Macaca fascicularis: one gene and its partners. The main gene of each other region encodes a partner of the protein of the gene in region 4 in a complex. Links are inferred from orthologs where the notes say so. Each region holds a gene or a part of one and is shown on either strand. Other genes may lie near its edges.

Evidence for each region.
Region 1: CASP8 (region 4) and MEFV share a complex: the UniProt entries of both Homo sapiens proteins name them as parts of the AIM2 PANoptosome complex. The link is inferred for Macaca fascicularis from reciprocal best matches to the Homo sapiens genes CASP8 and MEFV.
Region 2: CASP8 (region 4) and RIPK3 share a complex: the UniProt entries of both Homo sapiens proteins name them as parts of the AIM2 PANoptosome complex. The link is inferred for Macaca fascicularis from reciprocal best matches to the Homo sapiens genes CASP8 and RIPK3.
Region 3: CASP8 (region 4) and AIM2 share a complex: the UniProt entries of both Homo sapiens proteins name them as parts of the AIM2 PANoptosome complex. The link is inferred for Macaca fascicularis from reciprocal best matches to the Homo sapiens genes CASP8 and AIM2.

Annotation. Positions count from the first base shown.
Region 1 is NC_088394.1:4,045,626-4,053,691, reverse strand, and holds the start of MEFV (pyrin), read left to right. Parts: upstream 1-2,738; 5' UTR 2,739-2,798; coding exon 2,799-3,075; intron 3,076-4,575; coding exon 4,576-5,223; intron 5,224-8,066. UniProt on the Homo sapiens protein: Involved in the regulation of innate immunity and the inflammatory response in response to IFNG/IFN-gamma.
Region 2 is NC_088381.1:92,152,407-92,160,598, forward strand, and holds RIPK3 (receptor-interacting serine/threonine-protein kinase 3), read right to left. Parts: upstream 4,087-8,192; 5' UTR 3,922-4,086; coding exon 3,902-3,921; intron 3,693-3,901; coding exon 3,552-3,692; intron 3,418-3,551; coding exon 3,108-3,417; intron 2,656-3,107; coding exon 2,510-2,655; intron 2,384-2,509; coding exon 2,337-2,383; exon of another isoform or gene 2,299-2,336; intron 2,130-2,298; coding exon 1,962-2,129; intron 1,852-1,961; coding exon 1,784-1,851; intron 1,569-1,783; coding exon 1,194-1,568; intron 1,054-1,193; coding exon 993-1,053; intron 479-992; coding exon 258-478; 3' UTR 108-257; downstream 1-107. UniProt on the Homo sapiens protein: Serine/threonine-protein kinase that activates necroptosis and apoptosis, two parallel forms of cell death. Necroptosis, a programmed cell death process in response to death-inducing TNF-alpha family members, is triggered by RIPK3 following activation by ZBP1.
Region 3 is NC_088375.1:102,013,491-102,020,925, forward strand, and holds part of AIM2 (interferon-inducible protein AIM2), read left to right. Parts: intron 1-513; exon of another isoform or gene 514-515; 5' UTR 516-535; coding exon 536-797; exon of another isoform or gene 798-4,741; intron 4,742-5,324; coding exon 5,325-5,458; intron 5,459-6,300; coding exon of another isoform or gene 6,301-6,495; exon of another isoform or gene 6,496-6,806; intron 6,807-7,435. UniProt on the Homo sapiens protein: Sensor component of the AIM2 inflammasome, which mediates inflammasome activation in response to the presence of double-stranded DNA (dsDNA) in the cytosol, leading to subsequent pyroptosis.
Region 4 is NC_088386.1:97,035,631-97,043,521, forward strand, and holds the start of CASP8 (caspase-8), read left to right. Parts: upstream 1-2,552; 5' UTR 2,553-2,699; coding exon 2,700-2,724; intron 2,725-4,911; exon of another isoform or gene 4,912-4,970; intron 4,971-7,891. UniProt on the Homo sapiens protein: Thiol protease that plays a key role in programmed cell death by acting as a molecular switch for apoptosis, necroptosis and pyroptosis, and is required to prevent tissue damage during embryonic development and adulthood.

The DNA of each region.
Region 1 (8,066 bases), on a different chromosome or scaffold from region 4:
AGCCTGCCTTGCCCTAGAAAGTCCAAAGTGGCATCAAAACACTGCCTTCCAGAAGTCCTGCCTCAGAACAGCCTCTGTTGCAAAACGTGTCACCACAATTGCAAAATATCCTGCTTTAGACCAGAAAGTATCGTTCCCTGCCCAATTCTGTCATGGCGTTTTGGTCTCAGTTCCGAGGAGTTTTCTGACCAGTCAAGATGGGATCACACAGCACCCACAGCGTCACTGCACAGTCCCATCCTTTCTCCATCTGGTAGTGGGAGACTGCCTGGGAGGTGCTGGGTTGCCACTGTCCAGAATCAGGGACAGGTGCTGGCCCCAGTGATACCCTAGTCAACACCCTTCTTCTGGCTCAGCCTAAAAATTCCAAAAATCTGTCGTCTGCACCATCAATGTGCATTTCACCCATGGTTTTTTTCTTTTCTTTTTTTTTTTTTTTTTTTTTTGAGATAGGGTGTCTTGCTCTGTCACCCAGGCTAGAGAGCAGTGCAATCACAGCTCATTGCAGTCTCAACCTAGGCTCAAGCAATCTTCCTGCCTCAGCCTCCTGAGTAGCAGGGACCACCAGTGTGTGCCACCACACCCAGCTAATATTTTTTCTATTTCTTGTAAAGGCAGGGTCTCCTTATGTTGCCCAGGCTAATGTCGAACTCCTGGGCTTAAGTAATCCTCCTGTCTCAGCCTCCCAAGGGCTGGGATTGCAGGTGTGAGCCACTACACCCAGCCCAATTCACCCACTTTTTAGAGAAGATGTTGGGCTCAGAAAGATCTAGTGAACTGCATGTTTGTTGTCAGCTATGAAAATAAAGCAAAAGCATCAAATACTCTGTGAAACAGAAAACAGGTGGACCAGCTGGATAGTAAGTAAAATTCAACCAATCAGAACTCATCAAAGCCTTGAACCCCTGGCTGGGCACACACAGAGGCACTCACACCCAGAGATGAGTGTTCAGCTAGGCATCACAATGTTGTGACTGACCTGTGGAAGTGACCCATCCTGGACCTCAGTGGTCAGCTGGAAATGTGACATCCATGGGTAGTCATGAATAATAAAAAGTAAAATCACAAATTATTGTCATGCAGGAGACGATGTTGTGAAGTGGTTTGATGTTTGGATCCTGGCTCTGGGCAAGTCACTAAGCTACAGATTCTTGGCTGCAGAGGAGGATGATAAATGCAGTCCTGCAGGGTACAGTCCTAGAGATTCTAGGAGGTAGTGTTTATAAAGCAAGTGGTGGCTGGTGCAGAGGAAGTGCTGGTGAAGGGTAAACTGCATTATTAACAAAACTTCTGGACGGGCACAGTGGCCAGATTACAGGGATTACACACCTGTAATCCCAGCACTTTGGGAGGCCAAAGCGAGTGGATCGCTTGAGCTCAGGAGTTCAAGACCAGCCTGTGCAACATAGTGAGACCCTGTCTCTATAAAAAAATACAAAAATTAGCCGGATGTGGTGGCATGCAGCTGTAGTCCGAGCGACTTGGGAGGCTGAGGTTGGAGGGTTGCTCAAGCCCAGGAGGCAGAAGTTGCATTGAGCCAAGATCCTGCCACTGCACTGCAGCCTGAGTGACTGAGCAAGACCCTATCTAAAAACAAAAAATTAAAAAATTAGGGTATGCAAGTAATTTTTTATTTTTTTGAGACAAAGTCCCGCTCTGTCGCCCAGGCTGGAGTACAATGGCACAATCTCGGCTCACTGCAACATCCGCCTCCCGCGTTTAAGCGATTCTCCTGCCTCAGCCTCCCGAGTAGCTGGGAATACAGGCGCGTGCCACCATGCCTGGCTAATTTTTGTATTTTTAGTAGAGATGGGGTTTTACTATGTTGGCCAGGCTGGTCTTGAACTCCCAACCTGAGGTGATCCACTCACCTTGGCCTCCCAAAGTGCTGGGATTACAGGCGTGAGCCACCACGTCCAGCCCCCGACATGTAACTTCTGTTAGCTTCAAAGCCACCTCTGGGGCCCTGCACCAGACTATGAGCTGAAGGACACCCGTGCCTTTTCACCCCTGTAGCTTCAGCATCCTGGCACACTGTCTAGAATGTTCAGTGAATGTGCACGGAAGGGCATTCTGGCTCCAGGGAGTGAGAACTGAGTCAGCTCTGGGAACAGATGAGTCAGGCTGGTGGTCGAGGCATTGCTTTTCAAGCCCTTCATGTGGCTGGAAGAACCAGACAACTGGAACTGGATCAACAGGGGTGATGGCGTGGCAAGAGTTACCCCCGGCAGTGCCCTTCTGGCCTCACTTGCCTTCTTGGGCCAGGAAAGGCAAAGCTCACGGGGCTGTATTTACTGCCCACCCCTTCCCCCATCCCATGCCATTGGCTCTGGAGGGTCTGTGAAACCCTGAGTCTGGAGGAGAACAGTTGACCAGCAGGGCTGGCCCTCAGCATAGTCCTCTCTGTTCCCATTCACCCGCTCTGCCAGCCCCAGATCCTGGCAGGAAGGGAGATTGGAGGGGTTGTCTGGAATCAATCCTAGACCTTCCCTTGCAGACTTGCCCACCTGTCTGTGGTCTAGTGTGGAGATGAGGTCCAGGGTTTGGGAGGGGTGTGGGGACAGATGTCTGCCAAGGCACTGAGCCCTCCCAGCTGGAAAATCCTCTGAACCTGTGAGAAGAGAACACAGCCAGCATGGACACACCCTTACCCTTAGTCTCAGTTCCCACCAAGACACAGAGCATTTCCTGTGCCTTTTCCGCTATTTCACAACCTACTTTTTCTTGCTCACCAAGGTAGAGGCTTCTTCTCCTGCCAGAAGCCAGACAGCTAGCTCCAGCGTCTCCTGCTCAGCGCCATGGCCAAGACCCCTAGTGACCATCTGCTGTCCACCCTGGAGGAGCTGGTGCCCTATGACTTTGAGAAGTTCAAGTTCAAGCTGCAGAACACCAGTGTGGAGAAGGAGCACTCCAGGATCCCCCGGAGCCAGATCCAGAGAGCCAGGCCAGTGAAGATGGCCAGTCTGCTGGTCACCTACTACGGGGAAGAGTACGCTGTGCGGCTAACCCTGCAGGTCCTGCGGGCCATCAACCAGCGCCTGCTGGCTGAGGAGCTCCACAGGGCAGCCGTTCAGGGTAAGCGGGCCCAGGCTGCCTCCTCACCCAGCACTGAGGCCTGGTTGCTTTGTGGGAAAAGGGACCAGGAGCTCAGAGCAGCTCACTCTGACTTGGGGGTCGGGAGTCTCAGGTCTACCAAGATCCAGGTGACTTTAGTTCAGGAACGTCCCTTCCTTCACTCTGGCTTTTGGCACTGGGTTAGTAAACTTCCTTAAGGCTCCCAGTGGGTTTTAAAGAAGCAGGTCAGGGTCAGGAAAGGCAGGAGCTGGAGCACCTATTCTTTGAGACTTCTTCACTTCATTTATGATTAATACTCATGTCAGACAAACATCTCTAGGTTAGCAAAAAGGGATTGCTATGCAATCGTATGAACGGGGCTGGTATAGAATCTTTTCAGTGCTGTTCACCATGTTGGCCAGGCTGGTGTCAAACTCCCGACCTCAAGTGATCCTCCTGCCTCAGCCTCCCAAAGTGCTGGGATTTCAGGCATGGACCACCGTGCCTGGTTTATTTTTATTTTTGAAATGTATAATCTGGGTTTTGCTGACCTGTGTAAGATCTTATTTGAAACAGTTGTCCTGCTTACAACGTTTGAAAAGTACTATTTGAGGAATACATGGTGGCTCACACTTATAATCTCAGCACTCTGGGAGGCTAAAGTGGGTAGATTGCTAGAGCTCAGGAGTTCGAGACCAGCCTGGCCAACATGGTGAAACCCTGTCTCTACCAAAAATACAAAAAAAAGAGCCAGGTGTGGTGGCACACATCTGTATTCTCAGCTATTGAAAAAACAGAAAACAGGCTGATGTGAGAGGATCGCTTGAGCCTGGGAGGCAGAGGTTGCAGTGAGCCGAGATCACATCAGGGCCACAAAACAAGATCCGGTCTCAAAAAATAAAATAAGAGAGAGATAAATATGTAGCAACATCAAGCATGTTCTTACTGAATGGTAATTGACTGCCATTGTCTAGGAAGTCCTGAACTTTTGTTTTTGAAATGGAGTCTCGCTTTGTCACTCAGGCTGGAGAGCAGTGGCGCAATCTCAGCTCACTGCAACCTCCACATCCCAGGCTCAAGCGATTCTCATGCCTCAGCCTCCAGAGTAGCTGGGACTACAGGTGCACACCACCACGTCTGGCTAAATTTCGTGTTTTTAGTAGGAACGTGGTTTTGCCATGTTGGCCAGGCTGGTCTCGAACTCCTGACCTCAAATGATCCTCCCAACTTGGCCTCCCGAGAAGCTAGGATTACAGGCATATGCCACCACGCTCAGCTTATTTTTGTATTTTTAGTAGAGACAGGGTTTCACCCTGCTGGTCTTGAACTCCTGACCTCAGGTGATCCTCCCGCCTCAACCTCCCAGAGTGCTGGGAATACAGGTATGAGCCACCGTGCCCGGCCCGTTTTTTCCTCCATTTCTAAAGTTTAATATCCATGGGGATTCTCTCTCCTCTCCCCTGAATCTTGGGCCCTAAACGTGGGACAGCTTCATGACTTTGTAGCTGGTTGTCTTTCCAGAATATTCCACACAAGAAAATGGCACAGACGATTCCGCAGCGTCCAGCTCCCTGGAGGAGAACAAGCCCGGGAGCCTGAAGACTCCAGACCACCCCGAGGGGAAGGAGGGAAAGGAGGGGAACGGCCCTCGGTCGTGCGGGGACTGGGCTGCCAGCCTGCGGTACAGCCAGCCCGAGGCCGGGAGGGGGCTGTCAAGGAAGCCCTTGAGCAAACGCAGAGAGAAGGCCTCGGAGAGCCTGGACGTGCAGGGCAAGCCTCGAACCCGGAGCCCGGCCCTGCCGGGCGGGAGAAGCCCCGGCCCCAGCCCCTGCAGGGCGCCAGAGCCAGGCCAGGCCGAGGTCCTCCTGCGCAGGAACGCCAGCTCCGCGGGGAGGCTGCAGGGGCTGGCGGGGGGCGCGCCGGGGCGGAAGGAGTGCAGGCTCTTCGAAGTGTACCTGCCCTCGGGAAAGAAGCGGCCTAAAAGCCTTGAGTTCACCATTTCCACAGGGGAGAAGGCGCCCCCAAATCCAGAAACTCTCCTGACTGTAGAGGAAACGACAGCTGCGAATCCGGACTCGGCAACAGGCGCTCAGGCAAGGCCCACTCCGGATGGAGGGGCGTCTGCGGACCTGGAGAAAGGCCCTGGGAATCCAGAACATTCGGTCACCGGTAAATTGTGTTTTTTCCTACTTTATATCGGCTGCAAAGAAAGAACAGCTGGCCGGGCACGATAGCTCATGCCTGTAATCCCGGCACTTTGGGAGGCCAGGGCTGGAGGATTGCTGAGGCCAAGAGTTTGAGACCAGTCTGGTGAACATAGTGAGACCCCCGCCATGTCTATAAATAAAATTAAAAAAATAAAAACCCAAAGGTTGGACAGGGCGCCATAGCTCACGCCTGTAATCCCAGAGCTTTGAGAGGCCTGAACGGGAGGATCTCTTGACCCCAGGAGTTCCATACTAGCCTAGGCAACACAGTGAGACCCCATCTCTACAAAAAATACAATAGTAGCACTTGCCTGTAGTCCCAGCTGCTCGGGCTCACTTGAGCAGGGGGAGTTCCAGGCTACAGTGAGCTGAGATCATGCCAGTACACTCCAGCCTGAGCAACGTAGCAAGATTCCACTTCTACAAAACTAAAAAAAAAAATTAGCTGGGTGTGGTGGCACATGCCTGTAATTCTAGCTACTCGAGAAGCTGAGGCAGGATGATTGCTTGAGCCAGGGAGTTCCAGGCCTCAGTGAGCTGAGGTTGTGCCACTGCACTCCAGCCTGGGCAACACAGCAAGACCCCGTCTCTTAAACATTTTGGGGGGGTAAAAAAAGAAAGAAAGAACGTCCAATTGAAAAAGGCAGTCAGGTTTTATTCAGTGGCCAAAGAATAGAGAAGGGGAGCTCGCCTCTGCAGGCATCTGCTTGCCAGGGATGGGAGGCAGGGGGATTTTAGAGTCCCAGGAGGGGAAGGGAGGTAGGTAAGCAGGTCCAGGGCAGGGTTCCATACATGAAGGCGCTGTCCCCAGCGTGCTTTTTCCTACATCGCATGGACATGAAACCCTGGCCATCTTCTTTTAGGGGAGGGGCCTTTAGCCTTATAATGATGTGTAAATGATCTAAAGGTAACTGGAAGTTACCTGTTCCAGTTTGCACTGGTTTTGCTCTGAACTTCCTCTGGTTTTTGGCAAGGGATCAGGCAGCTCCAGGCCATCTGGATTTTTTAAAGCAGCTGTCCCTATAGGTAAAGAGACCAGAGAAAAACTGTAAAAGAAAAATGCCATCAGTTTAGAGGGGATTGAGGTTGTCCAGGTGACAATTCCATGCTTGTGGTGGGGGCAGCATTCAGAAACACACCTTCTTTTTTTTTTTTTTTTTTTTTTTGACACAGAGTCTCAGTCTGTCTCCCATGCTGGAGTGCAGTAATGTGATCACAGCTTACTGCACCCTCAACCTCCTGGGCTCAAGCGATCCTCCCACCTCAGCCTTCCGAGTAGCTGGGACTATAGGTGCTCATCACCACACTGGTTTTGTTTTTTTGTTTTTGTTTTTGTTTTTTTTTTTTGTACAAAGGAGGACTCGCTATGTTGCCCAGGCTGGTTTTGAACTCCTGGGCTCAAGCAATCCACCTGCCTTAGCCTCTAAAAGTGATAGGTGTGAGCCACTTCACCCAGCCTATGGAACACACTTTCTAATACATTGTTCGCTGGAGAGGAGAAATCACAGCATTCAAAGAGGAAAAATAGAACTGGGGGTCCAGGCCGGATGTGGTGGCTCATGCCTGTAATCCTAGCACTTTGGGAGGCCAATGGGGGCAGATCACCTGAGGTCAGGAGTTCAAGACTAGCCTGCCAACATGCTGAAACCCCATCTCTACTAAAAATTCTAAAATTTCCGGGCGTGGGGGCAGGTGTCTGTAATCCCAGCTACTCAGGAGGCTGAGGCAGGAGAATTGCTTGAACCCAGGAGGCAGAGATTGCAGTGAGCCGAGATCACGCCATTGCACTCCAACCTGGGCAACAAAAGCAAAACTCTGTCTAAAAAAAAAAAAAAAAAAAGATCTGGGGGTCCAGGGACCCCTGAGACCTGGGAGGGAACAGGACGTGGTATACTGCATAAGTCTTCAAATCCAGAAGTCCCTGGGTCTTCTGGTGAGAAAGGACCCTGGGATCTGGAAAACCTAGCATCCTTAGGAATAGTGACCTGAAAAGTACTAAAGTACTTCCCCCCTAATTTTCTTTTATCCCCACTGTATTTTTTTAAATTTTTATTATATATATATTTTTTTAGATATGGGGTCTCGCTATGTTGCCCAGACTGGTCTCGAACTCCTGATCTCAAACAATCCTCCCATCTTTGCCTCCCAAACTGCTGGGATTACAGGTGTGAGCCACTGCACCGGATCCCCACTGTATTTATATAATTGGGATTCCTGGGTGCCTCCTGGGGCCACTTTGTTAATCTGGTGCAGGCTTAGACCCTGAAAAATGCATATATGCACAGCTTCACAAATGTCACATCAAATTTCAGGTAGTTCTTGGACACTCTGAAGTCCATCTTTAGAATCCAAGGGGTTTGTGGACACCAGGTAGAAAATCTGGGGAAGACTGGTTAAAAATACTGCCTCTCACAATAACCTCACAGCAATGTGTCATAATGGGGTTGAGATTCTACCATTTGCCTTTCTCTGAGCAGAAAGGAAAGCCTATTGGCTAAAGTCCTAATTATCTACTGCTGAGGTAGTCATTAAAATTGTTGGGTTGTGAATAATAGAAACACCCAAATAACAGTAACCTGAACAGAAAAGAAGTTTGTGCCTCCTTCACATAAATGATACACAGGCAGTCCCAGGCAGATCCGTGGGCCAGGATCCTGGGGTCCTGCTGTTGCTCTGCTCCACCAAGTTTGTCCTCAAGCTCGTGCTCTCAGAAGGTGACGTCCTCATGCCAGGCAGCAAGATGGAGGAACAGAGGGGAATAGTATCCCTTAGGGAAGGCTCTAGAAATTTCTAGAAGCTGCTTGT
Region 2 (8,192 bases), on a different chromosome or scaffold from region 4:
TCCCCGCTTCCTGCCATAGCAGAGTTGTGGTGCCTCCCTATCCCTCACTGGCAGCTCCCACCCCCATCCCAGTCCCTCCCGGCCCCTGGCTGAGCTCAGACTTTGGCTAGCATTCCATCATGTTTATTGACTCCTGGGGGACAGATCACAAAGTCAGTTTGTGGGCAGGCCAGACTGCCCTAGAAGGAAGTCAGGGGCCTCAAGGGGTGGCGCTCTTCCTTAACTCGTAACTCTTGGAGGCAAGCTCTGAAGGTGCTTTATTTTCCACTATGATTATACCAACCATGTGGCCCGCTCCAGTTTTCAGGTTCTTCAGGGCCTTCTTGCGAACCTATTGGTGGGGGGTGCTGCCAGCCCCTCCCCGTGCCCGAAGGTGCCAGGCCCCCTGTGGGCAAGGCAGTTGTCTGTTGCATAGTCAAATAGTTGTTGTCTCCAACTTGCACCCCAGAACAGTTGTGTAAGTTAATGAGTGGTCGCCCTTTAAGAGAAATAGTGATGGTGGCAGGAGGGTTTAGCTGTCAGAAAGGCCAAGTTGGGGGTGGGTGGGGAGTATGAGGTCTCCACCCCCAGCTTGGCCTTGAGTGGAGTGGTCGCCCAAATGACTGTGTTAAGGTGTGTCCTGTGCCCTTCCCTTCAGAGTTCCTCTCCAGAACTGGCTTAGCAGAAGCTCTAGAGAGTAGCAATTGACATTTGAGACCCTGATCTTTTTTGCTGGGAAGTCCTCTGGACTGCTGAAACAATGGAACTTAGGGGGCTCACAGAGCTGATGCTGTGGAAAGTTAGAAAACTCAGGGAAAAATCCAAGCTTCGTTGTGTGACCTCAGAGGGCTCCTTTCTCAGGGGGTGTCAGTTTTCCCATTTATGAAATGAGGTTGAGTTAGATGATCTTCTCCCCTCGCCTCCAGAAAGTACCCTGAATCTAGATATAGATCTGGAGGAGGAGTCTCATGGAAGAATTGAACAGGGAAAAGAAAGAGGTGGAGAGTGGGTACCTGTTACTGGATTTGGCTCCGGGGTCCTGGAGGACCAGTTCATGCCATGTCTCTCAGCGCCCTGCAAACATCACAGAGCATCCAGTTCTGTCCTGGAGCCTGGACCGCCCAGTGCACTCCTCTCAGCCCCAAGTTTTGCCTGGCAAGGGGACAGCATTTATAGGACTCTTAGTGCATCCCCTAATCCTGCCAATGTCTCACCTGATTCCCCTGGGGTCCAGGACTTGGTGTTCCAGTTGATGTGGGGCTGGGCATCTGGTTTCTGAAAGTTGAGGTCTCTGGAGTCTGGGGAGGTTGGGCCACTGAATCTGAAGATGTCCCTGCTGTCCTGGCTTGCAGAACCTGCTCCTCTTGTGCCCTGCTCCTCTTGGTAAGGCTCGGGTATTTTTCAGGAACAGAGCTGGGAGACCCCTCTAGATTCAGTTTGTTTAGCAGCTCAGAAACCATGACATCATTACGAGAGTGTTGGTTTCCTGTGGTTCTCCTAAAGCCATCCATTTCTGTCCCTCCTTGGCCTGACTCGGGGGTAGAAAATCTCGGATTGCTGCTCCTGAGCTCAGATAGGAAATTCTTTACCTGCAGGGATGGGAGGAGTTTGCTGGGTATGACTTGGATGAGCCAGAGTAAACCCAAGGGAGTAGTCTCTTGGAACTCAGGGGTGGGCTGGGGAGGGTGAGGACAAAGGTCAAGGCATAAAAAAGCTGTGGTTAATGGTGAGTCATTGGATGGCCAGGTAGCCATGTTGTGCCATCCCTGACCAGCTCCTGGAGAGGGGTGATGTTGGCGCTCACTGTGGAGACAGCAGCATTTATATTGTTCTCCACCATCTGGAAGGCTTCATCAGTTTTTGGTAGGCATTCTAGAGGGACAGCAGAGTGGGTTGCAGGTGAGCAAATCTTCTTTTCCTGAGGAAAGCCCCATGCTGACAGACCCAAGCTTACCCCAGATCCAGCTAATTGGCCAGCTCACCCTGGAAGGAGGGTCTGTCCTTGGGCTCACTGCTCCAGCAGAGCTGCATTAGCTCCTTCAGTCCTTCTAAGCCGGGAGTCTCAGGCCCAGCTTGGGGCAGCTCAGTCAATGAGGGCCGGGTCTGCCTCCTGCACACTGCTCCACACACCAGTGATGCTTCTGTTGGCACTGGAGTAGGGGAGGAGGGTGAGAAGAGAAGGCATTCAGGGTAAAAGGGAATATCTGCTCCATCATGGAAAGAGGCAGGGAGTGTAATGTGGGAGCACAAGGATGGAGGAGGGCAGTCTTAGTAGGTGAGCAGGAAGGGGAAGCTTTGGGGCTTTCAAGAGAAGGGCACCTGGGGTTAAGGATCCCAGAATCCGCCTAGAGTCTTACACTCAGCTTCTCTTCCAGCAAGCACTGCCCACATTAGGATCCCGAAGCTGCAGGAGACACAAAGCTGAGGACCAGTCCAATCACTGGCAAGACTCCTTTCCTATACATCACCCCCTGGGAGGGCCCAGAGAAGTGTAGGAATCCCGGCTGTGTGTTTGGGCTGGGATCCTTACCTGTAGACATCACTGGCTGTGGAGGCCTTCCGGTTTACATTAACAAACAGTTCTGGGGCCAAGTAGCCCAGGGTGCCCCCTGGCTCCCTGGATGCTGTCCCTGACTGTGAGCCTCCCTGAAATGTGGACAGGCCAAAATCTGCCAGCTGCAAAGGAAGGAAAGAAGTGGGAGGTAGGGAAGACAAGGGGGCCAGGCAGCCTCCAGAAACCCCCTTGCCCCCAGAAGGTTCAGGTTCAGCTTTGTAAAGGGAGTGTGGAGGTCAAGGGAAGAGGCTCCCTTGGATAGTAGATCTAGGTGCCTGTGGTAGGGCTGGGTCAAGGTGTGAGTCTCCAGGGCTGGGTCAGCCATGACTCTTTGGAGGGGTTGGTGGGGCAGCTGGTGGAAAGGACTCGTGTGGGTCGGGGCCTCTATCACCTGGTATGGCAGGAGCTAAAACTCCTGGCTGGGCTTTGTGCCCTGGCAGCCCTGTGTCCAGAGGGAGAGGCTACGCCTATTCAATAGACAGGGCTCTGGAGGTCTGGTGTCCAGTGGGCCTGGCTGGAGCTGCTCTGGGGTGGGACCTTGTCCTGAGGCTGAGAGGGGTGTAGAGCAGCTGACCTTGACGTGCAGCTCTGGGTCCAGCAGGACATTGGATGGCTTGAGGTCCCGGTGCAGGAGCACCGGGTTCTGGTTGTGCAGGTAAAACATCCCAAGCACCACTTCTTTCAGCAGGCGGCAAAGCAGCGGCCAGGGCCTAGGGCACTCGGGCTGCAGCAGCCGGGACAGGGAGCCGTTCTCCATGAATTTAGTCACCAGAGCCGGCTTGGGCACGTGGTCCCAGTTCACCTTCTCGATGACCCCTTCTAGGCGCAGCACGAATTCGTTATCCAGACTTGCCATGGCCTTGACCTCCCTGGATATCGCCTTCCTACACTCCAGGAGAGAGCTGGAGTCACCCGGGGTCGTGGGAAAAATCCCTCCATTCCCCATTCAGGCCCCAGAGCACAGTGGCTCCACCTTTTTGGCCAGATTGCGGCCGGGGGGGCAACAGGGGTCACTCACGAGTTTACAATCTTGACCGCCACGTCGTAGCCCCACTTCCTATATCGCGCCCGGAACACTGTGCCGAACCCGCCTCTGCCGACGAACTCCTGGTTTTCCAGTTCCTCGATGGACACCAAGGAGGCGGAGGCACCACTGGGCCTGAGACAGGGGTGTCGCCCACTAGCCGGCAGTGCCCTACGCCAGCGCTGCTCCCCGCGCCCCTGTGACTCGGCGCTCTTACTGCAATCCCCGGCCTCTCTCGCCGGCCCCCACCGTCTCCAGACTCAAAGGCGTTCTCTGAGCGAGTCCGTGGGGCGCTCTGGGTGTGAATGTCGGAGGCTGCGATCGACATGCCTCTCCCTACTCACCATAACTTGACGCACGACATCAGGCTGGAAGGTGCGAGGGGGCCTCTGGAAATTGCGAGCAGTAGGAGATGGAATGACTTCTGGGGCTGCGGTCTTTGGCAGAGAGGGGAAGGGATCTGTCTCTGCAGGGATCAGTCTCTAGACCAGGACGGTGACTCCACTTTCCGGGTTGCTACCCGTATTCTGAGTTGACTGAACAACTTCCCTTACAGGCGCCTCTACAGTCCCGCCCCTGGGGTGGGGCAGGGGGCAAAGCGAAAGCTAGTGTCTTTCTCCCTGACTAGCGTTTCCTGAGTGCCTGCCGCATGCAGCGGCCAGGTTAGGTGTGGCTGGGCATTGAGGATGTTAGGGAATGGGTCCTCACCTTCCAGGAACCCACAATCAACCCACTCCTACAGTCAAAGCCTTCTCTTTTCCCACAGGATTTCCTGCTCCACCACCTGCCAGGCCATGAGTGGAGATGGTGCTTAGGCAGGTTTTATGGTTTTAGGGCTCAGCTCTCTCATAGCTGCCCTAAGATCATAGCCAATGCATATATAAAACTTATCATGCACCAGGTACATAGATTAGCTTATTTAATTCTCACACGAACCCTAAGGGGATAGGTACTGCTTTTATTACCTTTCTATAGATGAGGAAACTGAGACACTGAGAGTTTAAGTACCTTGCCTAAGCCCATATGGAAATAATGGCTCTGAACCATCAAGTTATCCTGTTTTCACATCATAGGTTTCAGGGCTGTTTTCACATAGGTTTCACCTGTTTTCACATAGGTTGCAGGACCACTCAGCTGGTCCTGCAGGAGGCTGGGAAAGTTGTGAAGCATCCAACGATGTAGTGAAGGATCCCTATTTGTATTCCTTGGGACTTATATGTTCATAGGGACTTATATGCCCTATGAACAGGAGCTCCTTGAGCTGGCAGACCCCAAACCCACTCCAAGGGCATTGTGGTAAGGCTAGATATACCAGCCCATCCAGCGAGTTGGTGACATTGTGGTGTACACTGCAGTGGAAACAATTCAGAGCTTTCCTGCCCTCTCTCTTGCATGACAATTCTTGCATGCAAATACCCTAATTAATGTTCCTGACAAGCACATGCTCTGGACACAGGCTTTTGATAACCCAGAAGCATGGAGAGTCTTAAAGATTTAGGGCAGAAAAAAGGTGTCCATATTTTACCTTTTGGAGGTCTGACCATGACTGGAGGTTGTGGGAACCCGATAGGGCCAGCCCTAGGCACTCAGTCCTTCACAGGGATACTCAACCCTGTGGGTTGTGTGTTGGCTTTCACTAAAAGGGGCTCACCTTGGTACTTGCTTTCCATTTTGTTCAGCGGTCCATGGGCTCTTCTGGTTGAGGCAGAAGTGATCAGCAGTTTTTTCTAGAACAACTCCTGGAGAGCTACACCATGGCTTCTGGTAGGGTCAGCTCATGCTATTTTGGAGCTATTTAGGGAATTGTTCAACTGTAGTCTCTTTAAAAGCCAATACATGGCAGATACCCAATAAATATTTGTTGAATTGAATGAATAAATGAACAACCAAAAATATTAAGCCTCTTTTAAGGCACTGATCATCCTAGATGGAGCTCCATACTCAGTAGGAGGAAAGAGGAGATCGGGTTCCTATAGGGACTGAGGGCTCTCACCTGCACAGTTCATGAAATCCGTCTGAAGTAGGCTTTAGTATAGAGATATGGTGGTATCACACAGAATCCAAGAAGGCAAGAAGTGTAGCAGGTCCTCAGAAAAGCCTAGAGTCAGAAGCTGAGAACCATCAAAAGGGGTAGCCACTCCCTTTGTGATTCTTTTTGGAGAGAATAACCCAGGCTCAGTATCTCCACTTGAAGGAAGCAGGCAAAAAGGAGTTGGAAAGGTGTTATAACCGGGTTTCTTCAGATTGGTATGAGACCCTGAGAATCAGGGATAAACTACTGTGAAGCACAAAGTTGGGTGTGGTATCAGGGCCTATACAACTTTTTGACTCAAAATAAACAGCCCCTTTAAAAGAAGGAAGAGCAGGGAGAAGAACCTTAGAGTAAGTGCCTAACAGGACCCTCAGCTTCCAGCAAGGGGGTGTGGGGGTGGACCTAGGCACAGGTTGATTCTTGGAATTTGGAAACTCAGAGTTTGGAATAATCAGATAAAGAAACTAAAGAAGCTATTGTAAAATGTTTAAAGAAATAAAAAATAGAGTAGAGAAATAAAAGAGCAAGGCATTAGAGATCATAAACAATGTCCAGATATATTTACAAAAAATAAAACATCAAGAAATGAAAAATGTATGTAACCATTAAAATTGAAATTGTAGATTTTGGTTAAACAGAAGATATAGCTGAAGAACGAATTAGTGTACTGAAAGATGAATCTGCAGACATTCTCCAGAATGCAGCAAAGATGAGCAAATAGAAAAGTTAAGAGACAAAGAATGAGTAGGTCTAACATGTTAAATTGGAATCCCATGAGAAGAGAAGCGAAAAATTAAAAATGGGGCAAGGCAATATTTAAGGAAAAAATGACTGACAATTTTCAATAACTGATGAAAGACAAGGATCCATCTGGGCACAGTGGCTGACACCTGTAATTCCAGTGCTTTGGGAGGCCACGGTGGGAGGATAACTGGAGGACAGGAGTTCAAGACCAGCTTGAGCAACATAGTGAGACCCCATCTCTACAACATAAAAATTAAAATAAAAGGTTGCCAGTTCTGGTAATCTTAGCTACTTGGGAGGCTGAGCTGGGTTAGGGTTAGGGTTAGGGTTAGGGTTAGGGTTAGGGTTAGGGTTAGAGCTTGAGCTCAGGAGTTGGAGGTTATGGTAAGTTATGATTGCACCATTGCACTCCAGTCTGGGCAACAGAGCAAGACCCTGTTTCTAAATAAATAAATGAGCAAATATAAAAAGTCAAATATACACAAATATAGTTGTGCCAAAAAGGATAAATATAAAGAAATTCACTCTAGTTATACCTCAGTGAAACTGCAGAACAGTGAACACAAATAAACAACATTAAAGGTTAAAAAGAAAGCATAGATCATCTACAAAGCAGCAGTAACTAAACTGGAAATACACTTCTCAACAGCCAAGTAAAAACCAGAAGACGTTGAAATAATTTAAGGTGCTCAAAGACAGGAAAAGTGTTCCTGAAAAAGATAACTTTGGTGTGTATACAATTTTATATTTACAGACAGGTAAAAAAAGAAAAAAAGACATTTTCAAATAAATGAAAACTGAGTTTACTACGAACAGTCACTTTCCTAAAGAAGTTTCTAATGGATGTGCACAAAGAAGATTAAAAAAAAAATTATCCCAGAATGAACGCATGAGACACAGGAAGAAACAGCAATTTCCCAGTAAGTTTAACCATGAAACTAATTAACATCATGTCAGACCCTTAGAAATGAGAGACAGTGGCTCACTAATTTTTCTTTTCTTTTCTTTTCTTTTTTTTTTTTGAGATGGAGTTTCGCTCTTGTTGCCCAGGCTGGAGTGCAACGGCGCAGTCTCGGCTCTCTGCAACCTCTGCCTCCCGGGTTCAAGCCAATCTCCTGTCTCAGCCTCCCGAGTAGCTGAGATGACAGGCGCCTGCCATCACATCCAGCTAATTTTTTTGTATTTTTAGTAGAGACGGGGTTTCACCACGTTGGCCAGGCTGGTCTCGAACTCGTGACCTCAGGTGAACCGCCCACCTTGGCCTCCCAAAATGCTGGGACTAATTTTTTTTGTCGTTGTTGTTTTTGTTTTTTGTTTTTGTTTTTGTTTTTTTTTTTTTTGAGACGGAATTTGCCTCTTGTTGCTCAGGCTGGAGTGCAATGACACAATCTCGGCTCTCTGCAACCTCTGCCTCCCAGGTTTAAGCTATTCTCCTGCCTCAGCCTCCCTAGTAGCTGGGATTACAAGCATGTGCCACCAGGCTCAGCAAATTTTGTATTTTTAGTAGAGACAGGGTTTCTCCATGCTGATCAAGCTGGTCTCAAATTCCCGACCTCAGGCGATCCGCCCACCTTGGCCTCCCAAAGCGCTGGTATTACAGGCGTGAGCCACCGCGCCTGGCCGGGACTAATTTTTTAAAAAAGATCTGCTACCAGTAATTCCACTCCTGAGTATATCCTAAAATAATTGAGGCCGGCCCCAGTGGCTCATGCCTGTAATCCCAGCACTTTGGAAGTCCGAGAGCGGCGGATGACTTGAGGTCAGGAGTTTGAGACCAGCCTGGACAACATGGTGAAATCCCATCTCTACTAAAAATACAAAAATCAGCCGGGCATGGTGGCACGTGCTTGTAATCCCCC
Region 3 (7,435 bases), on a different chromosome or scaffold from region 4:
CAAAGTTTTGCTCTTGTCGCCCAAGCTGGAGTGCAATGGCGCGATCTTGGCTCACTGTGACCTCCGCCTCCTGGTTCAAGTGATTCTCCTGCCTCAGCCTCCTGAGTAGCTGGGATTACAGGCCCCCACCACCACGCCCAGCTAATTTTTGTATTTTTAGTAGAGGTGGGGTTTTGCCATATTGGCCAGGCTGGTCTCAAACTCCTGACCTCAGGTGATCCGCCCGCTTTGGCCTTCCAAAGTGCTGGGATTACAGGCGTGAGCTACCATGCCCAGCTGATGTATCCTGTTTTCTAAGAATTCCAGAGGTGTTGTATACTTTCTGAAGATGTCTTTCCCAGGAATAGGGATCACCTTGCTTAAGAAGTTCTTACCTATGTCCCATTCAAATCTCTTTTACTACTGCAAACATTTTGTTTATTTTTCTTTAAAAATATTAATAGCTCACCTTGCTTTATTTTGAATGTAGAATCCCTTTTGGTGTTGTAATCTTACATGCTTTGGATTCCTTATAGGTTGATCCCAAAGTCGTCAGATGGAGAGTAAATACAAGGAGATACTCTTGCTAACGGGCCTGGATAACATCACTGATGAGGAACTGGATAGGTTTAAGTTCTTTCTTTCAGACGAGTTTAATATCGCCACAGGCATACTACGTACCGCAAACAGAATACAAGTAGCTAACTTGATGATTCAAAATGCTGGTGCAGTGACTGCAGTGAAGAAGACCATTCTTATTTTTCAGAAGTTGAATTATATGCTTTTGGTAAAACGTCTTAAGGAAGAGAAGGAGAAAGGTAATGTGGTAGTCCCGCACCTGCCCAGTCCCTTTCTCTGCCAAGCCTGGGCCTTTCCTTTCATGGCGTCCCTGGGATATGACCCCCAGTGCACACTGTTGGAATTTGTTTGCTAACTTAGTGCACCTGTCTCTTTGCCCCCTTTTACTGAGAATCACTTGTAGGAAGTGTTTGTTACAAATTCCACAAATCCATTCCAGCCTTGGTTTGCATCTCTTGTTCCAGCCTTTAGGGTGACCACTTCCATTTATCATCTTTTCTCCTTGCCCATCTTTGTCTCCAGTTCAATTACAGTGAATATGGATGTAGAATTTCAAAGTTAACTTTTCCCAACTCCATTTCCACAGTATGTAATGCTCTCACATTCTACTGAAGTCTCAAAAATATAAATTATTGCATTGGAAAATTGTAAACCAGGATATTGAGCACCTTTTTTTCCTTCACACAGTCTGTTTATTTCTCTCCATGTCCCTATCTTTCTATGGTCCCAGACTATGCTGCTTTCTTTAGGGAATGATCTCCTCCTTCTTCAGGGAGGGAGAATCCTCCTTCAGGGATTCTCTCTCCTCTCTATCTCCAGTGACAGTATAAATTACCCACAGCAAAAAGACTTTTTTAACATCATTCAATAAATCACTCATCATCTCCATCTGAATTATATACATTTAGTTTAAATTCCTGATTTTGTTTACTAAGAACAATTGATACGTCCCGGCTTTATGTCTGAAGAACAAAAAAGAGCTAACAAAGGAGCATATCACTCCAGGACTGTCCCAAATGAGAGTCTCCAAATGCAACAGTTTTAGGATTCAAAGTAAAACCGTAACAGCAAAGATTACAACAGCTTTTAATAGCATTTGTGGGTGTACAACACGGTGACATGGCTTCTCACACATGGTTTATAAGAAGGTTAAATGAAGCCACATAAGTGATACTATGTAGGTCCATAATTCTATACAGATGTAAACTGTGAGGTAGTTTCTAAGGCACTAATGAGAAAGGAGTGGTTGTTTTCCCAGGCTTTAAGTTAGAAGGTGTAGTTCTTTAAGATGGCCCTTAGATGGCAGTAACTACCCATGTTACTTCCATGTAACCAGCTGCCCTGTGTTTCTTATCTGGGATGAGACAGGAATCTATTGGCAAACATAGGCTGAGATATTTAGAAATATCTTCTATTTTGGCAATAAATCAAGAATTAATTCTTCTCTTTGACCAGGATAGCACAAAATTTCCCCTTCTACAATCTTCTCCCCATTTTGCTGTTCTAATGATTCTGGGATTTTGTTATTCTACTTAGCTAAAAAAGATCCAGTTTGGGACTAACTTGGAGACTCAGGAGTAGATCATCCAGAGGCTGTCCCAAATGAGAGTCTCCAAATGTAACAGTTGTAGAATTCAAAGTATGCTTTTGGGCCAGGTGCAGTGGCTCACACCTTTAATCCCAGCACTTTGGGAGGCCAAGGCAGGTGGATCACTTGAGGTCAAGAGTTCGAGATCCGCCTGGTCAACATGGTGAAACTTTGTCTCTACTACAAATACAAAAATTAGCCAGGCATGGTGGCAGGCGTCTGTAATGCCAGCTACTCAGGAGGCTGAGGCACGAGAATCAACTTGAACCCGGGAGGCAGAGGTTGCAGTAAGCTGAGATCATGCCTCTGCACCCCTGCCTGGGCAACAATAGTGAGACCCTGTCTCAAACAACAACAACAACAACAACAACAACAACAACAAAACACAAAGTATGCTTCCTGCATGCTCTACAAGAAGGCAACTGAGTTCCTTCATCGCTCTCAAATTCCATCCGTGGACATACTTAGGCCTCTTTTGAATGTAGGAAATTTTTGTGTGTCCATGCTATTTCTATTATTGTATGAAAAGCTTTTGTTTCATTTTTTTTGAACAGTTACTATCATTCTTGTTTAAGTGATCCTTCTCTGTTGCCATGGCATGTCTGCATGTAGAGTGCTATATGCTCTTCTACTCACAACCTCACCCCATGGAAGGTAGAAGATACCTGGAGAATCTTTAATGAAGACAGAGGCAATAATTAGTAGAGAGGAGAAGCTTTTGTATGAAGCAAGATGAGAAAATACAAGGACTCATAAGCATAGAAAAAGGAAGCGAAGAGAAAATGTGATCACAGTCTACAGAAGTCCTGCAAGATTAAAATAAAATGCTGAAAATGATAAATGAGATAATCAGTAACAATGTCCACCTGATTATTAAGGCAAATGAGAGATTTATAGTGGGCAGACAAGCTTGTCCACAAATATTGGTACCACGGTGTGTGAGATGAAGTATGGCTGATGTGATGTGGTAGAACGGTAGGTTGATTCCCTTGGCCTCCTTGATGCTGTTTTCTCGCCGATGCTGTGAACATAGAAGAGACTTTATCTGCATACCTTTCTGAAACCAGTTGCATGGAACTAACTTATCATTAGAAGGTTAGTGTAACTTCTTTCTAGAGCAGAGATCCTGCTACAATATCCCTGTCAGACAGTCAACCACTTTCTGATCTTTGAAAGGTAATGACAGAGTACCTACTGCCTCATAAAACAGTATCGTTTCTGTTTTTAGTAAAATCAAAGTGATTGCCTTGCTATTTCAGCCCAGAGTTGTTCAAATTCTATCAGAAATGACATCTAATAATTTCTCAGGCCCTCTTCTGCCTGAGAGTGCCTTAAGTCATTAAACACGACCATCTTGTTACATGGTCTTTTTAAAAATCAGGACTAGGAGTTGGCTTTTCACAATAACATATAACCTGACCATAGATGTGGAGGAGCCCAGCCAAAGTATACAACTGCATTTTGTAGGCATTAGTGAGGAGCCAACATGCCACCCATCCATCCATTTCTTCATCCATTCAGTAAATATCTATTGAATTGCTAATAGGTACAAGGAAAGCTTTTAGGTTCTTATGATAAAACAAGGTGTTAAAAACAAATCCAAATTTTATACAGCTTCTATTCTAAAGGGAAAGTAGATATTTTTCTTACAGGAAAATTTATGAATGTAATTAATTGAGACAAATGCTCTAATGGAAAGGAAGATGGTTCTTCAGCAGCATGTGTCAAAGGAGCATTAACATAAGCCACGAATTAGAGTTGGTGTTGGTCAAAGTGGGTTCCATAGGGAAGTGACCCTTGCACTAAGCTCTGAAAAATGCATAGGAGTTAAAGGTACCTTCAGTCAGAGGGAACACTGTGAAAATCCCTATGACAGCAGGTGTTGACCTGCTTGAGGACTGAAAGAAGGCCAGTGTAGCTGGAGTACAGAGAGTCTTCAGAGGGCAGGATGGGGTCCCCTCGATAGAAGGACAAGGCAAGGCCTTGTAGAACATAATTAGAAATCTGTGGCCAGGTGCGGTGGCTCATGCCTGTAATCCCAGCACTTTGGGAGGCTGAGGTAGGCGGATCACAAGGTGAGGAGTTTAAGACCAGCCTGACCCACATGGTGAAACCCCGTCTTTACTAAAAAAATACAAAAATTAGTCAGGCATGGTGGCATGAACCTGTAATCCCAGCTACTCAGGAGGCTGAGGCAGGAGAATCACTTGAACCTGGGAGGTGGAGGTTGCAGTGAGACGAGATTGGGCCACTGCACTCCAGCTTGGGTGACGGAGTGAGACTCTGCCTCAAAAAAAAAAAAAAGAAAAGAAAAGAAATCAGCCCTTGTTTCATAGCAGTAGTTTATTCATTTTCACTACTACATAAGATTCCATTTAATTGATAATTACATACACATATAAACTCATATACATATACATATATAGAGAGAGAATTGGTCTATTTTTTATTGTTATTTTAGTCATTTGAGGCCATTGTGAAAAATGCTGCTATGAATATTTATTATAAGCCTTATGTACTTATCTTTGTATGTTTGTATTTGTATGTGTGTTTCTCTTGACTGTACACCTGTGAATGGAATTACTGGATGTTAAGGTAAGTAGATATTGAATTTCAATAAATAGAGTCCCAAACCATTTTCCAAAGTGTTATACCGATTTAAGACTAAGACTTCATAGTTTCTTTTGTTTTTTGTCTTTTGTTTTTGTTTTTTGTTTTTTTTTTTTTTGAGACAGACAAGGTCTCACTGTGTCATCCAAGCTGGAGTGCAGTGGTGTGATCACGACTCACTGCAGCTTTGAACTCCTGGGCTTAAGTTATCCTCCTGCCTCACCCTCCCAAGTAGCTGAGACTGAAAACATGTGACATTGCACCTGGCTAATTTTGAAAATATTTTTTATAAAGATAGGGTCTCCCTATGTTGACTAAGCTGGTCTCAAACTCCTGGCCTCGGGTTGATCCTCCAGCCTTGGCCTCCCAAAGTGCTGGGATTACAGGTGTCTGTGCCAGGTCCAGTTTCTTTCATTTTAAAACAAGATTTTTTTTTTTTTTTAGAAAAATTAACTGCTCTTGAAGATATCTTAATATGGTTTTAGTATTTATTTCTGGTGACATTTGAAAATGTGCACTGCTCATATGTTTATATGCTTATTGGCCATGTCTTCCATTTTTTAATCAGTTGATAAGGAATACAAATCGGTAACAAAACCAAAGCCACTAAGTCAACCTGAAATGAGTCCTGCTGCATCTGCAGCCGTCAGAAATGATGTCACAAAGCAACGTGCTGCACCAAAAGTCTCTCCTCATGTTAAGGTAGGATGAGGAGAGTGGAGTGGTCTTTGTCCTTGTAAGAGCATCACTGTCACTGTCATTTCCCACATTGTTCTCTGTTCTTTATCTCAGAGCATGCAAATAAGGGAATTAAGGCCACAGTGTGAAAAGCACTCTGAGTCACAAAAACAGGAACTACCTCTGATTAATCAGATTAAACACCTGTTGAGCTTCTAATCTCTGTCAGGGCCTGGACACATTAACACTCTGTTATGGTTTGGATTCTATAAGACGAAAACTCTGAGATAGACAGTTGTTTACAGGAAGTCTATTTTAGAGCACTTTCAGAATTAGTATCTGTGAGGAAGTGAAAGGAGTAGAAGAGGAAGAATGTCAAGTCCAATATAGTTGCAATAGAGGCCTTGGCCTACCCCACAGGGAGCTCGGGAGCTGAGAATGCCCTTCAGGGCTCCCAAGACTGGTGGGGGAGTCTGTGGTTTGCACAGACCCAGGCTCTGGGTCACATCAGAGATCTATTGCAGAGACTCTTACACTCGGCCTGGCATGCCTCTGTTTGTTTTCCCCTGTATTTTCCCTTAGTTCTTGACAGCAAATTGCTTTTTAAAAGTAATGTAAAAAAGCCCTTTATACACCTGCATGGACAAGGTGAGGTGGCCCTGTTTAGCTGAGAGAGTAGTGCCTGAAGAGTCTCATTGATGAGAATGATTACTTTAGTCCTGAGGGAGCGGCAGGCAATATCGGAAAGGCCCAACACAGAATCCACCACACATGCAATTTCATTTCCTGTGAAGCAGGTGTTACACCATTTTATAGCTGTGTGAGCTCTAGAAACTGATTACACATACTTCATTCTCTTTGTCTAGAGGAGCCATTTCCTCTGGGTTTGGCCCAGAAACTTCTGGATTTTTCAGAAAACAAGGTTCAAGTATACATGGTGTGATTCCATCACCAGTAATGAAAATGTGCATCATTCAGTCTGGAAGACTCAACTAAAGATACATGGACCAAAGAGGACTTTTGTAGTGGAACTCAGTGGAACTGACCTTTACCTGCATTGATCCAAATGCAGTCAGTTATACTGCCCGTCAGGGCCCCTTACTGGCCCCAGCTCCACTGGCCCAAGCTTCAGGTCACATCGGAGACAGCCTTCGAGACTCCTACACTTGACTTTTTATGCCTCTGTTTGTTTTTCCCTGTATTTCCATTTGGTTCTAGATGGCAAGTTGCTTTTAAAAAGTAGTATTTTCTCCCAAAACAAACCAAAAAAGGTATCTTATCTCTGTTAATTCAGAAAAATAAAAAACACAGAGAAGCGAATAAAATTACCTATAATTGTATCATCTAGGAAAAAAATATTGATGTTGGTAAATATCTCTGTAGTGTGTTTGTGTATGTGCTTTAACTGCTTATTTATCCAAAAAGAAAGAGATTTTTTATCTGTTTAGGACCTTTCCCTTTATTGAGTCAGTTATAACAGTTTATCACATTATTTCTCTAAAGCATTTTTAATATTTGTATAGTAATCTATTTGTGACTATACCATATTTTGTTTAACCAAATTCTATTTTTTATGTATTTAAATTATTTCTTTTTTTATAATTTCAAATAATAAGATATATTTTTAAAATGTAAACCTTAGTGCATAATTCATTATTTAAGGGTAAATCCACAAATGTAGTATCAATTCTCCTTTTAAATTTCTCCTTTAACTCACTTGTAAGATCTCTGACCTAGGTCTCCCCCTTAACTCACATTAAACATAGTCTACATTTTGTTACGTACAATACCTCCCTAGGAATTTGGGGAACCCTGTGCAGGTCACTGAGCTCTCTCACTTTTATACCAGAGTAAAATGAATGTTTAGGACAGTGTTGGATAGAGAAACAAGGATATATTATGCCCGAATGGAATCCACAGAAGATGGAATCAGATTTATCAGATTTACCCCGAGGCTTAGCAATATTTCAGAAATCTGATGAAGTCTTTTTATACAGCACA
Region 4 (7,891 bases):
AGCCCTCTTAGAGATGTTGTGAGCTTAAACAACATGGTAGTGAATAATTAATTAATTAATTAATTAATTTATTTGTTTTTGAGACAGAGTCTTGCTTTGTCACCCAGGCTGGAGTGCAGTGGCGTGATCATGGCTCACTGCAGCCTTGACCTCCCACACTCAAGTTATCCTCTCACCTCAGCCTCCTGAGTAGCTTGAGACAACAGATGCATGCCACCATACCTGACTAGTTTTTAAAATTTTTCTGCAGAGACGGTGTCTCCCTATGTTGCCCAAGCTGGCCTCAATCTGTTGGGCTCAGGCGATCCTCCTGCCTTGGTCTTCCAGAGTCCTGGGATTACTGGTGTGAGCTACTGCACCCACAGCCTATTTACTGAGAACTGTGGAAGGCCCAGGCACTATTCTAAGAGCTCCAGCTGTTTTATCTCCCACATTTTTGCTCAGGTAGGAGTTCCAAAGCTGGAGCTTGAAGACTCATATTTTTAGAAATTTTGCAGTGAATTCTGAGGTGGGTCAGATTGAGATTCATGGCTATGCATTCATGTTTAGGCGGTGACTAACTACTCAGGGTTTTAGAGACAAACAGACCTCATTCTGTCACTCACTGACTGAGCGGGGCCAAGTCTTTCAACCTCTCTAAGCCTCAGTGTCCTCATCTATAAAATGGGACCAATCATAGCATCCACTTCTGAGAACTGTTCAGAAGTGGAATGGAAATGAGCCAGTTTAGGTGGCTGTGTCTGGCATACACCAATGGTTTGATACGTATTAGCTTGTGCCTTTATTGGGCCAACTCCTTTTTGTTAGGTGACTGAGAAACCAAGGCCCTTCTGATCTTTATTCATCGTTCACTATTAGTTTAAATTTGTTGCTCTTCCATCCACATGATTCATTCCAAATCCTAAGTGTTGGAGAAAGGGAGTTAGTGTGTCATAGAAAAATCTCTGTTTTGGCCCAGCAGGACTGAGTTTGACTCCATGGAACTGTTTGAGCCTTAGTTTCTTCATCCATAACATGGGAGAACAATACCCTGAATTGCTGCAAGAATTAGAGATAGTTCATGTCAAGGTGTAACATACAGGTAATATGTTACTTCTGGTGTTCTGGTTATAAAATGTACAAGATGTGCAAGCAAAAGGGCAGAAAACCCTTTTTAAAAATTCATGGCTGGGTGTAGTGGCTCACACCTGTAATCCCAGAACTTTGGGAGGCCGAGGTGGGTGGATCACCTGAGGTTATGAGTTTGAGACCAGCCTGACCAACATGGAGAAACCCTGTCTCTACTAAAAATCCAAAATTAGCCACGCATGGTGGTGCATGCCTGTAATCCCAGCTACCCAGGAGGCTGAGGCAGGAGAATCACTTGAACCCGGGAGGCGGAGGTTGCTGTGAGCCGAGATGGCGCCATTGCACTCCAGCCTGGGTAACAAGAGCGAAAATCCATCCCAAAAAAAAGAAAAAAAAATTCACATGGGAAACAGAGGCGGATGGCAGAGAACAGGGGAGTGGCTGGGCACAGTGGCTCATGCCTCTAATCCTAGCACTTTGGGAGGCCAAGGTGGGTGAATTCCTTGAGGTCAGGAGTTCGAGACCAGTCTGACCAACATGGTGAAAACCCGTCTCTACTGAAAATACAAAAATTAGCCAGGCGTGGTGGTGGGTGCCTGTAGTCCCAGCTACTTGGGAGGCTGAGAGGCAGGAGAATCACTTCAACCCAGGAGGTGGAGGTTGCAGTGAGCCAAGACCGCACCACTGTACTGTTACATGGACAACAGACTGAGACTCCATCTCAAAAAAAAAAAAAAAAAAAAAAAAAAAGAGAACAAGGGAGGGTCTGGGGTTCAGAGCTTTGGGGAACAGACCTCAGTAGCACCAACACTCCAGGATCAATGCTACAAAGACACGGGTTACAACTAAACTGGAGAACATGGCCAAAGAAGGGAACTGAAGTGTCCTGGCTCAGCCCTATTTAGGGCTGTTTAGCTCTGTTTAGGGCTGAGCCAAGTAGGGCTGAGTCAGAACACTTCCTCCTTTTTTTGTGAACAGTCTACCTACATTTCAGCTACAGGGGTGGCTTCACCCAGTCCGTAGGGAGGGAGGAGAGGGCTGGTCTATGACTTCAGTGCTGAGGTTTGGATCAAGGCAGAGGGAAACTTCCTCTTCCCAGACCCTTTGCAAGGAAGAATGGCATATTACTTGTCACCGACAGGGGTTATGATTACTAAATGGAGTCAGTATAAATGCTTTCCAATAAAGCACGTCCAGCGCTCGGGGTTTTAGTTTTGCATGTCCATGAAATGTCTGCCACCTCCCTCTTCTGAATGGTTGGAAACTGGGCATCTGTTCCTTTAAATAGGAAACATTTCTTGTTCGGGTGAGTCATCTCCGTTCTGCTTTAGGAGTAAAATTTACCCTGCAGTTCATTCTGCTGTGAAGTTTTCTCTTTCTCTCGGAGACCAGGTTCTGCCCTTCTGCTGGAGGGAAGTGTTTTCACAGGTTCTCCTCCTTTTATCTCTTGTGTTTTTTTTTCAAGCCTCCTGAATTTGCTAGTCAACTCAACAGGAAGTGAGGCGGTGGAGGGAGGCAGAAGAGCCAGGGTGGTTACTGAAAGTAAAAGAAACTTCTTCCTGGGAGCCTGTCCCACCCCCTTCCCCACTGAGCACGTGGAGTTAGGCAGGTTAGGGGGCTCAGAGACTGCGATGGTGCCAGGAAAGGGTGGAGCGGGTGAGTGCCTGTTGCCGAGGTGGCCTCTTCAACAGGAAACCACATATTTTTGTTTCTTGACTTGCTCTAGAAACAGGGCTGTGGGGGCGGGGAAGAAGCTTGGATCTGCCCGGCTGAGGACACCTCTGGGTGCTGCCTGGCCAGGTCTCCTGTGGGGTTTCTCTCTGAGCTGTTGCCTCTGATCTTGCTACTTTTTCACTCTGAGCAGTCTCCATTTCCTCTGCTGCCTTTTTGTCCTCCCAGCTTCCCTACTGCCTGGAATACAGATACACAGTCTCCCTCCTGTGAACCCGTTTGGAGAGTCCAGAAAACTTTATCAATCCACTTTTTTTTCTTTTTCATTTGGCTCTGGGGCCGAGGGTTAAGTTCTTTATTCTGTCGAATCACAGTGCCCTGAGGTGCACAGACCGCTTACCCCTCTTCCGTGTCTTAAGGGTTTCCTTTTATGTCTCCACCCCCACCCCTGCCCTCCTGCCCTCTCTCTTGCTCCCCAAAGATAATTCTCTAATGTTTTGATGTGGATTCGTGAATTTATCTGTATCTTTGCAAAATGTATTTTTCTTTTGTATATGTACACTGTTTTTTAACTATGCCATCTCAGGCAAGTAAGTAATTCCTCTGTACCTCTGTTATCTCATTGTTAAATGGGATTAATAATGCCTTGAGAGGTGACTGTGAGGCTTGAAGGAGATAATACGCACACATCACTTACTACATGAGTTAGCAATTATTATTGCATATTAATACTATTGGCATTTTATTTTACTCATTCTGTTTCTATTTCTTTTTTATTTATTTATTTTTTGAGACAAGATCTTGCTTTGTCACCCAAGGCTGGAGTGCAGTGGTGCAATCATGGCTCACTGCAGCCTCGACATCTTGGGATCAAGCAATGTTCCCATCTCAGCCTTCAGATTAACTGGGACCACAGTCGTGTGCTACCACACCTGGCTAATTCAAAAATTTTTCTTCATAGAGATGGTGTCTCACTATGTTGCCCAGGCTGGTCTCAAACTCCTACGCTCAAGGGATCCTCCCGCCTTGGCCTCCCAAAGTGCTAGGATTACAGGCATGAGCCACTGTGGCCATCCAGGCATTGATGTTATCAGGCCACCTTGACCTAGCCCTCTCTGGTGAAGAGTCCTTTTCAGATACTTCATTCAGTCTTCTCAGCTATGAGTCCCTGCCCTCTGAAAGCTTATATTCTATTTGGGGAAAGACAAAAGGCAGTTTCAAAGAAGAGAGGTGCTTGATTTTCTTTTCCTACTTTTAACATCAGAAAACATTTCGTCTAACTCTCAGTATGAAGGCAATCTTTTGTTTACTGATCTGTCCCTAGAGCCCAACATGGTGAGGGCCCCAGGATTTGCCTCTTTGATAAGATGGTAAACCCATCTTGTGGCTGACTTCGTGGTGTCCCCAGCTACACTCATATACAAGGATCACCTTTGGTAAGATAGGGTTACCATCTTACCAAAGAGTTTTTGCATTTTAGAGGTTTTTCTTTTTAGATTTTTTTCATTTTAGAATTTTTTTATTTCAGAGTTTTTTTCTTTTTAGAGGTTTTTCATTTTAGAGTTTTTTCTCTTTTAGAGTTTTTTTTTTTTTTTTTTTTTTTTTTTTTTTTTTTTTTTTTAGAGTTTTTTAGGCGGCTGAGAGTGGAATCTGGTGACTTGGGGCCACAGAGATGCTCCTTGGCTAAACCAGGGGCTTTAGCTCTGAACGTTCACAGTCACCCTGAGAACAAAGATGAGGGCTCTACGATGTCCAATCTCAAGACTTCTCCGAGGTGCTCCATCAAGATTCATTGAATGAAAAAATTAAAGTCTTAATGATGAACCCAGAAAAATCTTTAAATCCTAAATACGAAATGAAAGTGTTCTTAGTTACAATCCAGTTCAACGTCCTCATTTTGGAATGTGGAAATGAGGCCCCAAAGGTAAAATGGCCCATCATAGCCAGGGGCCAGTGCTCAGGTGGCCAGATGCCCCGCCCCACCCTGCAGGCAGTCTCTTGGACCATCAGGCCTTTTTCCTCCAGCTTTAGAAGCTTTAGAAGGTGCTCTGTTCACTCAGGGGCAAGTGGTAAGCGTTCCCTCCCCTCTAGTGTTTGTGACTTAGGAGTTTCGAAACAGGAAGTACAGCTGGCTGTGCCCTTCATCCTTCATTAGACGTTTGCTCTTGTCTTAGATGCTCAGATGGCAGTGGAGAGGCCTGTAACAAAGGTGTTACCATCGTGAGAGTAAGGTAAGGATTTGCCCCTTTGTTAAGGTCAGAGGGGCCTTTTGGGAGAAGGCCTTTGATTCTGGAGTTTTTTAGGCTGCTGAGAGTGAGGTTGGGTGGCCCTGGGGCTATGGAGGTGATCCTCGTATGTGAGTGTGGATGGGAAACCATGAAGTTAGTGGAAGAGGTAGCAGTCCCTCTGAGAGCCTTGCCGAGGGCCGTGCAGTTTCCAGATCTTGAGGCCAGTCTGGCTTAGACTGATTAAGTGCTAGGAGTTTCTGAAATGCTGCCATTTACCTACTTGTATAAAGGCTTCATCCTGATCCCAGCTAAATTTGTGAAACAAAGAGTAGAAGCCAAAATTTAAATCTCAACTAACTTTGCTGCTACAGCTATCCTCCCACCAACACACATACCCACCAACATACACATTTGCCAACATAAACACACACACACACACACATACACACACCCATGTGGTCCTACTAATTCAATTATTTATGTTTTAAAGAAATTTAAAAAGGCTGGGCGCAGTGGCTCACACCTGTAATCCCAGCACTTTGGGAGGCCGAGGCGGGTGAATCACCTGAGGTCAGGAGTTTGAGACTAGCCTGACCAACATGGAGAAACCCTGTCTCTACTAAAAATACAAAATTAGCCGGATATGGTGGCGCAGGCCTGTAATCCCAGCTACTCGGGAGGCTGAGGCAGGAGAATTGCTTGAACCTGGGAGACAGAAGTTGTGGTGAGCCGAGATTGTGCCATTGCACTCCAGCCTGGGCAACAAGAGCAAAACTCCGTCTCAAAAAAAAAAAAAAAAAAAAGAGAAAAGAAAGAGAAATTAAAAAGATACAGAACAGTTCAAAAAACAATATAATGGGAAGACTAGATGGACAAAATCGGAGACCTGCACTTGTGGGGTTAAGCATTTACGGGTGAAGTTGCAAGTTTCATTCTGTTTGACAATGATGGGATTATGTGTTTTGTTGAGGTTCGGACACCTTTGCTGGGTTGTTAGAACGCCGTGGCTGCAGTGCCCTGTTATGGACACCATGTGCATGCAGAATGGATGTCTGTTAGGTTCGGGGGCAGCCCACAGTGTGAGGCAGGCAGCCTGGACCCGAAGGAGTGGCAATACTACCTCCTGGTTAGGGGTTTGGGCCTGAGAGCGAGTGGCTTTCAGGTTCTCTCAAGCTTCGGATGAGATGCAGGTTTCTGTTTCTGACAGTGAATGCGTGTTTTGCTTTTTCCCTACCTGTGGGGTAGTTATCACTGCAAGAGCTAGGACGCTGCTAGAATATTACTGGAGTGATTGTGATGAGATGGAATGTATTTGCAGTTTAATTGTGGCATGTAATACAGTGGTAGAATGGGACTCTGGAATGAGATGCTGGGGCCTAGATTCTAGCACTTCCTTTGTGAGGCTCTGACCCCCTCTCTCCTACAGTGGATTTGTTAAGAACTTCTGTTTTTGTGGTTTTGTTGTTATATATATTTTTGAAATGTTATTCTCCAAAAATGTTATGATTTTATGTTTTTCTTCATGAGATTCTTTCACCGCCTTCCAGCTGCAAGTAGAATGGCGTCTAAATCTTTGCGATCTGTCATTGAAGCCCTTGAGTGAGATACTTAAATCTGGCTGTGGCTCTCTCTCTTACTAGCTTATTTCCGAGCCGTGATTTTTCACAACAGAAAAATGGGGACAATAATGGTAGTTTCTTCAGAGGCTTTTAGTGAAATGAGGTTAAAAAATATTTTTATGTTTATGTGGATATATAGGTTATAAACATTTATATATCATTTATTTATATGATTATTATAAATACATATTTATATTTAAATATTTTGGGGCATAAATATATAAAATAATTATACTTATGTAATACAAATAGACTTATAATATACATTTACTATTTAGCAGAGATTATATAAAATATATGTATTACATGGCAAAATATTCAAATTTACATATGTTATAAATACATGTGGAAAAAAATTGGTCACACAAAATGTGACCAAAGAATTACTTCCAAATGGCAAGTTTTTAAGTAATTTTTATTTTCTTTTTATACTTCTTTGTACTTTCTCTATGAAACAAGTGTTACTTTTACTATTTTTAGGAACCAAAAAGACAAGTACATTATTTTAAAAATACTAGCTTAACAAAGCTGCTAGCCCATAAGCTAGTGCAGAACATCTAGGTCCCATAAAACAAGAACTGCCATGTGATGTCTCTCCCCGTGCAGTGCTGGATGGCCCGTTGTTAATGGTGTCGTAAATCCTTTGCCAGTGACTGTTTTCTAGGTACTGTGACTAGAGGGATGTGTAACTTAAGCAAAAAGCAAAAAACAGAAAAGGCTGACTATCATCCAACAGTGTATCCTGGAATACCTGGGCCAGGGAAGAAGCCATGTTAGCACTTTCCCTTCTAAATATCAGTTATGATTGGATGGGGAAACCACTTAAAAAGCATTGCCACGTTGTTGGAGAGGTAATGAAATGAGTGAGATGGGCCGGGCGCGGTGGCTCAAGCCTGTAATCCCAGCACTTTGGGAGGCCGAGACGGGCGGATCACGAGGTCAGGAGATCGAGACCATCCTGGTTAACACGGTGAAACCCCGTCTCTACTAAAAAATACAAAAAACTAGCCGGCCGAGGTGGCGGACGCCTGTAGTCCCAGCTACTCGGGAGGCGGAGGCAGGAGAATGGCGTGAACCCGGGAGGCGGAGCTTGCAGTGAGCTGAGATCCGGCCACTGCACTCCAGCCTGGGTGACAGCGCGAGACTCCGTCTCAAAAAAAAAAAAAAAAAAAGAAATGAGTGAGATGAGGTGGCTATGGAGGACGGAGCTATGCGCCAATCTTATTATATCCAAATTCATGTCATCTCAGCCTTGGATTGTATTGATTTTTATTATATACTGTCAGAAAATGCTATTGAATATGT